3 linked regions of the Sus scrofa genome follow. The protein of the gene in region 2 interacts with the protein of the main gene of each other region in a pairwise test. Links are inferred from orthologs where the notes say so. Each region holds a gene or a part of one and is shown on either strand. Other genes may lie near its edges. The genes, in order: CCNA1, CDKN1B and CCND2.

Region 1 (3,504 bases), on a different chromosome or scaffold from region 2:
CCCGAGGGTCCAGTAGGAAAGCTCAAAGAGATGGTGTTGTTTCACATCCTTTCACTAACCTGCCTAGGCTTGGCCTTCACACTTTGCCAATTTATGGACTGCTGTATGAGAAGTGAAAAGTAGGAAGGAAATAAATCTCAGGTAGCCATGTACTAAACATAAAAATCTCCGGATTCCTCAGGACACTTAATCCTAATAGTCTGCCAGATGTCTAAAAGCATAGGGAAGCGCCTATTGTGGCACAACAGGTTAAGAATCCAGCTGCAGCGGGTCACTGCGGAGGTGCAGGTCCAATCCCCAGCCTGGCACAGTAGGTTAAAGGATCTGGTGTTGCCGCAGCTGTGGTGCAGGTCACAGTTGCAGCTCAGATTCAGTCCCTGGCCTGGAAACTTTCAAAGGCTGTGGGCGCAACCATTAAATAAATAAATAATTAAATTAACTTAAACCTACAGAGAAGCATTCTTGAAGTAGAGATGACATTTGTAATACTCCCAACCAAAATTCCAGGCATAGTCATCAGTAAATATGCTTAACATGTGGTCAGAAGGCAAGCTGTTTATTCTTTAGAAAATGTGAGACATATTATAAGCTACTAATATCTAAAAGAACCTAAATACATGTACATCTAAAAAATGAATGCCATCTATAACAAAGCAACACTAGTTGACCCGAGCTGCAGAGTGCTAGAAAACATGAAACCAATTCTGTGGATCTGGTGGTTAAGTTCTGAAAGTGCTTCAGTTCCGAAACTTATTGTAGAGGAAGGACTGCGGGTGGTTCCATGAGAGACACATGCATGTACCTGAAACGAGACCCAAAGCAAGTTCAGCACGAGCCAAGGACATTGGTTTCGCAAAACCTCACAAAGGCCAAAAACTTTCTAGTGGTTTTAACAGAAAGGAAGGAGCTGGCTGGCGAGATGGACTGCAAGCTGACCAATTATAAACCTAAACGATTATAAACCCTCAAAAACGATTTTCTTAATTTGACATGCTATCCTACTTGTCCAGCCTAGCACCAGATAGCCAACTTGTTCTGTTTTTAATTCTGAAATTACCATCACCTATTAAAGCTTTACATAGTTGAGCCCAGATAAGAGATTTTCAGGAACTTACTTTGAAGCCTTATACTTCTCCCTAATTGCTTGTTGAGGTCGGTGGGGTATACCAAGGCAGGCTTTATGCAGCTCACTCAGGCAAGGCACAATTTCACTCAGTGAATAGCCTGTGAACGTAGCAAGGGCTTCTGGCTAATCAAGACAAAAGACAAAAGAAAAAAACTGCATCATATAGCTTTATGAGCTATCAGAAATCTGGAGATCAAACCGTGAAAAAAAGGGAAGGAATCAGTAAGTATCCCTATTCATCTCAAAAGAACCCATAATCCTCTTTCAGAGACTGTAGAAATAAGATATTAGGACGAACAGGCAGAGTTCTAGATCTGCTCATATTATACAATTATAATGCTCAACCTTGGATAGTTTATTCTCTCATGAGCAGGATTTTTACTGGCCCCTAAAGAGCCTCCACTTACCTGAATACTCTATTTGCATGTAATAAGAAAGATTCTTAGCCAAATACAGAATAAGAAATAAGAATTCCAGTAAATAAAAGTAGATGCCCCCCTCTTTTAGCACAAAAATGAGCCTTCAAAATCAAATATTAGGGGCCTGTTTCTAATCTTGCCAACTGTCACAGGCCAAGAAGCAATGCTAACTTCTCTGTTCCCTTGAAAGCTTGATACAACCTTCTGGCCATCCTAATTAAAGCCAGGTTGTTTTACCAGAGGGGACAAGGCAGCATCTTTTGCCTTGAAGTGCTCAATGCTTACACTACAAGGGTTCTCCGGGCCTGCTTCCATTGAATGAGCCACCGCATCTCTTGGACTTTCTGCAACCTCTGCTCCCCATTGAGCTAAGTTACTGAGTCAAAGCCCTGCAGGCTGACCTGCAACACTCACCAGCATATTGTAATCTTAGTTTAATAAGGAACTCTCCCCCTTGGGAGGCAAGCCCATTATAAGCCTTGAGAGGAACTGAACAGATTTTAGATAGGCCTTGAAATTCATCTAGAAAGAAGCAGTTAGAACCTTACCCAGAAGTGCCTGTTCACAGTATAATTTGCCAGACAATAAGCAGCTGCAGCTATCAGTGAAGGAAGATATTTCAAGAACGGGTCAGCTTCAAGGAGACTCAATTCTGCTACGTACTAAGCACAAGAGAGAAAAATCTCATGGGAATTAGGAATATGAGTAAGGTTACAAGTAAACCTAGAAAATGTGGCATCTTTGTTCAATGTGCATCTAGTGATGAGCACAGAAACAGATGCTCAAAATTATTCACTGGGTTAATAATTGTTATGCCTCTCCACAACCAGAATAACATTTATAATAAATTTCAACATGCAAGTGTTTGGCCTACCAGTACAGCAGATGTGATGGGTTACTTATCCTAGTAGTGCAAGTTTATGCTGGTCAAGTAGCATTGCCCTGGCTCCTGGAGTGGACTAGAGCCTTCAACCAAAGGCAAAAATATGTCCATGTTAAAGCTATTAATTTATCAGGCAAATGAATGCAGTTCAGAGATTAGAACAGTACCAGCAGGAACTTACCAGATTTAAAGAAACATATTGGGAAGTGTATATGAACATCTTTAAATAGCATATAAATACCATATATAGTAGATCATTATAGATGGAAACCAAGTCTTCCAAACCAATGCTTTAGTGCCTTTAACTAAAGTTCCAGGACTCCAAATGACCAAATCGTGTTCCATTACTTAACATGTCAGGATGACATCAGAGCCAAATCAAACTACATTTATCGTGTTCCTATTCTGTAAACCAAAGAGGTATTGCTTGCATGTGGTCTGTACACAGGGAACAGTTTCCAAGCTTAAATCTGTTAAGAGTTGGGTGATTAGACAACGTGTGTCTGCCAAATGCGATCAATAGTGATGTCTTGTCAGCAGAAGTCATGTCTTAAAGTTTGCTCTCTTCCAGTTGCTAGAAAGCTTTTCTAGAAGGGTCCAAGGCAAGGAACTGAAAAGGAAGGAAAACTGAAGGAGTCTCCCTTTTTAACCAGAGTACTTGGAAGTCGCGCCACGTACCTTGGCCAGGTTCTCAGTCCTGACACACACACCCTGTCTTCTTAGGTACTGAAGGAGAAACTGGTTAGTGGTTGGTGCCGTCAGATTGAAAGCCAGGACCTTCAGGAGCAGGTGTTCCATTCTCAGCAGCTGTCGTTTTGTGTAAGTGTCATCAGTTATGTAGACAAACTCGTCTACTTCAGGTGGATATATTTCCTCATATTTCCTATGAAAGGGAAAGAGTTTGGGGAGGTAAATCGTGAACCTTGTGCCTCTCCCTCTTGTGCTGTCTCAACCGTGCTTGTTATGTGGCCCTCGGGGACTTAAATATCACTTAAAAATCACTGCATGGTTCAGGACTGTGAAAATAAGAGGAGTTTGTTTCCAGGACAAGACTATGACTATTATAAGGACACGTC
Region 2 (4,386 bases):
TGAGAAACCCTGGTCTAGAGAATCGGGGTCAAAAATAGTGAGAAAGAACAGACACAGGAAAATTAAGGAACTGTTAACACTTAAGAGTAGCAAAATTTTCTAAATTTGAAAAATAACTGGAAATAGAAAAGCTCACCAAAGAAAATTCTATTCACCCCCCCCAAAAAAAAAACTAGTTTCTCAGTCGTATGAAGAGTATACACACATGAATGCTTGAGAAGAGGTCCTTACTACTATTTCCTGTATTCGCTGAACTGGCAATATTTACTAACAAATGCCTCTCTGTATGTCAGAATGCGGCCAGATCAAAATCCAGTAGGTCTGATTTGCTGTGGCTCATCTGATGAGCTAGGCCACGAGTCACCAACCAACAAGAGCCACAGGTGTTAAGGTTGACTCAGAAATTTTTTTCACTTCATATACAGCTATAACGTAGGGTTCGATAGTGCCGTGTTGTATAAGCTCTGAAAGATATCAGACGTATGTAATAAAGTCCTACCTGTGACACTGATGTAAAAACACAACAAACTTGAACCCTACCTTCATCCCTGTTCTTTATTTTAAAATTTTTATAAATGAGGATTTTGAAAGTTAATGTCAACATCTCTTAGGATCTCTTTAAATGCTAAGCTATGAGGGTGTTTGTGGAGGGGAAAAAAAAGAGGTCACGGTCATTGTCTGTAAGGAGTGTACAAACTATTAACTAATATATGTAGTTTGATCATTATGGAAACCAATCCATGTAAAGCTGGGGGGCTGAATTATGCAAATTAGTTTTTTACATTGATCAGATTTTAGTAGGTGGAAAAATGTCCACTTGCCTTGTTCGGGGTAGCCCTAACCAGTGGCAGCCCTGGTATCTACTATCCATTTCCCCTACAAATATCCAAATTATCCTGTTATAGCACGATTAGCATACACATGCTGACGTGTTCCTGGATTGCTTACTCTGGCAGAGTTACTTAACTTCTGCTTTGTAACTTCAGTGTTATCAGAAATTCCATAGGAACCTTAGCGTTTTTGAGCCTTCCATTTTGGTTTTTTTTAAATACACAGGTTCCTTCTCCATCCCCCACACTGATCAGAAAACAGGGCAAGTGACACTTTGTGAAAACGATAGATAAAAGAAAGCCACACTCCTCTCTATTCACATTTCTAACCATGTGATTAACCAGATATGAGCCATTTGTACCTAACTTTTCCCTCAAAGTTTTAACTGGATCATTTATTTGCCATTTTTTTCCATGTATGGCTCAAAATCTGTTAGAGTCAGCTTGGTCCTCTGGGAGATGAATTCTCCTGAAGTGGGATGGAGGCAGACCCCCGCTCTTGTTCAGATGGAAAAAGAACCTATTGTTCCCAACACCGTTTTGATGGGACTCTCAGGGAACTGACCTTCCTACCCACAGGGCCTTGGTTGCAAGTATTTGCCTGGGACACTTGCTCTAATCATTGGGAGCTTCAAAGGAAAATGATCTCAGGACAGAGAAACTGGGAAGAATTATAGTACCCCCACCCTGATGCCCAGTCTTTCCCATTCCTCCTTTTTTTGGACCTCATAAAATACAAACAAAACCCCACAAGCTCTAATCTGCCAGACACCACTAAGATCGGGTATCTTGGTGTTTGAAAACCCATGAGTTCCTTCAGCCCAAATCGGGTGTCACTTATTTGCTTCCAGTGATCAACCCACCGAGCAGTTTACGTTTGACGCCTTCTGAGGCCGGGCTTCTTGGGCGTCTGCTCCACTGAAGCCGAGTTCGGGGAACCGTCTGAAACATTTTCTTCTGTTCTGTTGGCTCTTTTGTTTTGAGGAGAGGAATCTAAAGGCAGGAGGGAATTTTAAAAAGAACACACACAAATAATCTTTATTAGAAAAAACAATGGCTGACACAAGTTGGCTCGATACTGAGGGGACAAAAAACCCACCACCTCCACCCACCATCCTGGATCCGTCATTCCCAGTGGCCTTTAAGGGCACAAAATGAGGTTGTTTTCACATAACAGAAAGTGTATTCTACGCCCCAAATCTCTCTCTCTCCAAAGCGAAGAGGGAGGTGGTTGATAAACATCCCAACGTTGTCACATACCTACAGCTGGCTAGCGGGGAGGAGCCGCGATGTTTTCAGTTAGAGAAATTATCAGATAGCACAGTCTCATGCTTCAGACTTAAAAGTCATAAACAGACCAGCAGCTAGCCAAATAGCATTTAAAACCTAAGATGAGGAAGGTGTGTTCCCCAAGAGCTAAGTCAGAATGCGCTGAAAAGAAAGCGGAGGTTTAAGATCCTCAAGCAGGGAAAACAGCACGGCAGACAAACAGAGAGAGGCAGACAAACAGACGTTTCATGCATTCGAAAGGGTCATTACCGTCTGTGGCAGGTCGCTTCCTTATCCCAGTGCACTGCTCCGCTAACCCCGTCTGGCTGTCCGGTGCATCAGTCTTTTGGTCTACCAAATGTGTGTCCTCTGAGTTGGCCTGAGACCCAATTAAAGGCACCGCCTGGCGGGTCCCGCTGACACCCTGGCCCTCCTGCGCCGGCACCTTGCAGGCGCCTTTGGGTGGCCGCGGGGGTCTGTAGTAGAACTCGGGCAAGCTGCCCTTTTCCACCTCCTGCCACTCGTATTTGCCCTCCAGGGGCTTGTGATTCTGAAAATCAAAATTCCACTTGCGCTGGCTGGCCTCTTCCATGTCTCTGCAGTGCTTCTCCAAGTCCCGGGTTAACTCTTCGTGATTGACCGGGCCGAAGAGGTTTCGGCAGGCCGAGGGCTTGGGGTACTCCGCCTGTCTGGCGTCCATCCGCTCCAGGCTCGGGCTCCCGTTAGACACTCTCACGTTTGACATCTTCCTCCCGGGGCTCGGCGACCGCCTCTCTCGCGCTCTCGCAAAACAAAACCGAACAAAACAAAACGCCTCGACCCAGCCCGAGCCCCTCTTATAAGCCCTGCGGCTGCCCTCCGAGCCAAGAGAAACAAACACCGACGAGTAAGCGCCCGAGCGTCAGGAGCGCGCTGGGGCTGGGGGAGGGGGCGAGGGGCAGCCCGGGCCAGGCAGCCCCGAGTCTCCGCCGATCAAGTGTACGGGCGAGCTGGAGGGCGGGGAGGGGAGGGGAGAGGAGCGCAGCGGAGAGAGGAGGGGGCAGAGCCAGTCCGAGTCCCCGCCGCTGCGAGCCCGCGGGTCCCGCCGACCGAGCGGCTCTCCAAACCTTGCCGGCGTCGGAGTCGCGGAGCGGCGAGAAAGTGGGGACAGGGGAGGGGGAGAAAAACACCCCGAAAAGACGAGCCCCCTTTTTTTAGTTGCCCAATATGGCGGTGGAAGGGAGGCTGACGAAGAAGAAGATGATTGACACCGCAAGTCTATTTAAACAGAGGAGGAGATCATTGGTCGCGGCGCCGGGAGCCGCCCAGCCGAGACTGGCGAGCTGGGCCTTAAGGTGGCCCCTGAGCCGCCGCTGCGCCTCCCCGCCTCCCGAGCGCGCCGCCGCCGAGCGCGCGGCCGGGAGCTCGACTGGTCGCGTGACTGCTGGAGGTGCCGGGCTGCCAGCAAACCTGCTCTGGCTGGCCTCGGAGAAATTAAAAATAAGACAAACTCGCCAAAAGGCCGGGGAGCCGGGGAGGGGCCTGGCCGGAGAGGTGGCGGGTTCTGGTCCCTGCGCTGCGCTCCGCTCCGGAGCCCCGACCTCCCTCTCCTCGCCGAGGGCGATCTTATTTTCCCCTCGCTCGCCGAGCGGGTAGGGGCGGGCAGCTGGGCTCGCCGCTGGGCGCTCGGCCCCCAGCTGGGCTCTCTCCCGGGGGGGCCCCCACCGCTCGCTCAGCGGGGGAGGCGGGGAGCCCCTGAGCCTGGGTGCCTTAGCTGGGGGTGAGCAGTGGTTAGCTCACCCTTAACCTAGAAGTCTGTGCTGTTCTAGGGGAGGCAGGGGGCTTAGGGGGGAAGCCCAGGAGGACGTCTTTCTATAAGTAGACTGGAATAGATGCTGCATTTGTAATGTATTCTGAACCCAAGCTCTCCCTCAATAAAAACAAGAAAAGGGCTTCGAGATCAAAAACTCTATTGGTCTCCCAAGTCCCTAATAAACTTAGTAGCTGTCTCAGATACATTTCGTTTAAAAAAGCGAGGATACACCCCTGGCCCAGGTTCTTGCTTCCCAAGCACTGTTAAGGCCACTGACTTGGTCTGCGTGTGGGAACTCGTCTCCTCTTTTATATTTTTCAGTTCTTTCCCGGCTTGTAGCAGTTTCCTCTACCTGAGTCCCGCCGCCAAATACAACAGCCCCTTCCTTCCTTCACCTTTCTCTCCCACCAGATTCACTTCTCCAGCCCACCCAGAACATTCAGATAGATACAAGTGAACGCTTTGAGAGAGCTGCAAGTCGCTGAAGGGTGAAAG
Region 3 (2,946 bases), about 6.4 Mb from region 2:
ACCCGCAGAGCTCCCGACTCAGTACCGAACAGGTCAGGAGCCAGGGCGCTTCTCCGTCCAAAATGGTTCGATTGCGTGGGGACTATTTGGCAACCCCCCTCCCCCATCCTGCCCCTCCTTATTTCTTAATTCTTTCTCGAGTTCATTGCTTTGAAATCGAATCTTGCCATAAAAGGCATCGGCCGTTCCTAGAGATTATCCTACAAGGGGTGTATACGTGCTAGTCCATAACATGAAAAACAAGTCTCTAATTTGTTCCCATAGTGCAGGCGTACATTTTCCTAGCTACTCTGTAGGTTTTCCTGTAAGCATTTTACCATGACTTTTAACATCGTCAAGCAGGAACTGTTCGCATATCTAAGAGATTCCCTTGTGTTGTACTTCAAATAGGCACCAGATGCTTTGCATTATTCCGTTTTTACAGAACCTTTATCTCTCACTTCTAAAAGATCTTTCAAATATGATCTAGGTGGGAGCAGAATTTGTTTTTCGTTTTTTTTGTGTGTGTGTTTTTTTGTTTGTTTTAAAGTTTCATTCTAAAACATAAGAGAACAAAACACAACCAGAGAGAAGGAAGGAGAGAGCCGATTGGACCCGTCGGGGCCACCCGGCATCCTCACAGGTCAATATCCCGCACGTCTGTAGGGGTGCTGGCTTGGTCCAGCTCGTCCTCCGACTTGGATCCGTCCTGGTCCTGACGGTACTGCTGCAGGCTGTTGAGCAGCACGACCTCAATCTGCTCCTGGCAGGCTTTGAGGCAATCCTGGAAGGAGAACGGTCCAGAGACCAGAGCTGTTAGCAAGGGCAGCAAGACGCAGAACGCACACACAGTTCGAGCCTCATCTAGGCCCACACTTGTTTTCTAGTAGAAAAGCACAGGAGTCAGAAAGCACAGGAGATGGGTCCTCCTGGTGCCGTGGAACCTCCCCACTCCGTGGCGGGGCATGGGGGCGTGGTGTCCCTGGACCAGTAGCATCAGGACCACCGCCACCTTGGGGCTCGTTAGAAATGCAGACCCTCAGCCCTCTCGGGACCAGTCTAATCAGAATCTGCATTTTAGCAGAAGCCCAGGTGAATCGGATGCACAAGAGAATCAGGGCAGCGATGACCGTGCTGCGCCTGGTAATCAAAGGGCCAGTGATGCTTCCTTCCTGGAGATGCTGGGCGGTGAGAGGGAAAAGGGGAAGCCAGCCCTGGAGACTGTGTGAAGGCACCAGATCAACGTGGCCCCTGAGGGACAGATAAGACAATGGACTGAGAGCGAGAGCAACTGCGGAAATGCTTAAAAACAGGCACAGTCTGCTTTTCTGCTTACTAACTGTTGAACTTGCATGACAACACAACACAGACCGTTTAGGAGTCTGTGCCCTTGAGCTCTCTAATTTGGGAATAGGCAAAAAAATTTGCAGCACTGCTTTGATATTAGTCTATATTTGGTAGAGAAAATTTGGAGTGGGTTGGCCCCACGCAGAAGCTTCTAGGAGCTGAGGGACATGGGACACAATGGCAATTCATGGGTGTCACCAGGGAGGGACTGTGGCTGACACTAGCAAGCGGGGCATCAGCTTGAAGGGCTCTCCCAAGCAGCATGTACACACAGACAATAATCCACTCCGCCTGGGTCGTTCCAGTTTTGCATATTTTCCCCTTTTGCTTGCTTCACCTTGCAATCTTTCACGGCCCAGTAGTTGTTGCTGGCCAAGCACAAAACATTGTCTTTATTTTCCAAAGATCTAAAATAAAGTTAGAGAGTTCCCACTGTGGCACACTGGGTTAAGGGCCCAGCATGGTCGCAGCTGTGGTGTAGGCTGAAGTGGTGGCTCGGATTCAACCCCTGGACCGGGGACGTCCATGTGCTGCGGGTGCAGCCAAAATCAATACAGTTGAAGTTAATTACTAGGAGCACATTTGCAGACCCCCCAAAACATTTTCCTTTCTTATCTCTCATCCATTCCACATTTCAAACTACAGCTTTTTATGAAAATTAAGATTAGGGACAACAGCCAACCCAGCACTGAGGGCAGAGATGAAACAGCACCCGGAATGAGGAAGAGTGAAGAGAGGGAGGTGGTGTTTTGCTATCAGACCACCAGCCTTTTGGGCAAAGTTACTTTCCTTCCCTGACCCCAGTGTGCCCACTTGTAAAATAAGGCTAAGGAAGCGCTCACAGAGGGAGCACTGACGGAGCTCATCAGGTGAAGTGCTAAGTTCAACACACGGCAATCATTTATTATGAATAACAAGTCAGTCCGGGAAGCTGAAAGAATTCCTGAGAGTTCTCTGAAACGAGGTACGACGGATGGAACATCTGCTCAGGACAGGTGAGGCGGGCACTGCGATAGGCCCCCGGGAGGAGTATCCAGTGGGGCAGGTGCACCCTGGCCACCAAGCTCTCCGTCCACCCCGAACAAGCAGAGGAAGGGCCAGGGACTGGCCACCGAGCCCAGTGGCGACATTTCTCAAGCTTTCCTGTGGCCTCGCCTGGTCATGTCCTCAAACCTGCCTGACCCCCAGCTGGTGATTACAAAGCTGAAGCCTCACCAGCCCCTGGCTCTGCCCATGGCCAGGCTCCTGGTTGCTCACTACTCATGAGGTACCAGGCACTGAAGGCTAAGGTGGCGATGCTTCTAAGGGCACCTGCATCTTAGCACAAAATATCTGAGCACTCGAAAGCCTTACAAGCGAAGAAAACAATTCATCTTAAAAGTTAACAAGGCAAAAAATGACAAGAGACAAAACTCCTCTGGATCGCCCCCCTAGGAAGCTCCTGGCCGATTCTGTCCAACTGTCCTTCCTTGAGAGGCTAATTCTGGCCCCGTGGAGGGGTAACCCGGGGCAGCACACCTGCCACCCCACTACCCTGCCCAGCTCAGGATGCCGTGATCATCACTGCCTTAGGCAGCTTAGGCCGCATCAGAGACAGATGGTGCTCCCAAGGGGAGGGGG

What was found.
Region 1: the proteins of CDKN1B (region 2) and CCNA1 interact in binary tests that used the Homo sapiens proteins (3 or more experiments, as listed by UniProt). The link is inferred for Sus scrofa from reciprocal best matches to the Homo sapiens genes CDKN1B and CCNA1.
Region 3: the proteins of CDKN1B (region 2) and CCND2 interact in binary tests that used the Homo sapiens proteins (3 or more experiments, as listed by UniProt). The two-hybrid records come from large-scale screens. The link is inferred for Sus scrofa from reciprocal best matches to the Homo sapiens genes CDKN1B and CCND2.

What each region holds. Positions count from the first base shown.
Region 1 is NC_010453.5:12,402,389-12,405,892, reverse strand, and holds the end of CCNA1 (cyclin-A1), read right to left. Parts: intron 3,312-3,504; coding exon 3,107-3,311; intron 2,208-3,106; coding exon 2,094-2,207; intron 1,250-2,093; coding exon 1,116-1,249; intron 803-1,115; coding exon 751-802; 3' UTR 536-750; downstream 1-535. UniProt on the Homo sapiens protein: May be involved in the control of the cell cycle at the G1/S (start) and G2/M (mitosis) transitions. May primarily function in the control of the germline meiotic cell cycle and additionally in the control of mitotic cell cycle in some somatic cells.
Region 2 is NC_010447.5:59,732,946-59,737,331, forward strand, and holds the start of CDKN1B (cyclin-dependent kinase inhibitor 1B), read right to left. Parts: upstream 2,887-4,386; 5' UTR 2,845-2,886; coding exon 2,370-2,844; intron 1,824-2,369; coding exon 1,702-1,823; 3' UTR 1,694-1,701; intron 1-1,693. UniProt on the Homo sapiens protein: Important regulator of cell cycle progression. Inhibits the kinase activity of CDK2 bound to cyclin A, but has little inhibitory activity on CDK2 bound to SPDYA. Involved in G1 arrest. Potent inhibitor of cyclin E- and cyclin A-CDK2 complexes.
Region 3 is NC_010447.5:66,091,981-66,094,926, forward strand, and holds the end of CCND2 (G1/S-specific cyclin-D2), read right to left. Parts: intron 764-2,946; coding exon 617-763; 3' UTR 503-616; downstream 1-502. UniProt on the Homo sapiens protein: Regulatory component of the cyclin D2-CDK4 (DC) complex that phosphorylates and inhibits members of the retinoblastoma (RB) protein family including RB1 and regulates the cell-cycle during G(1)/S transition.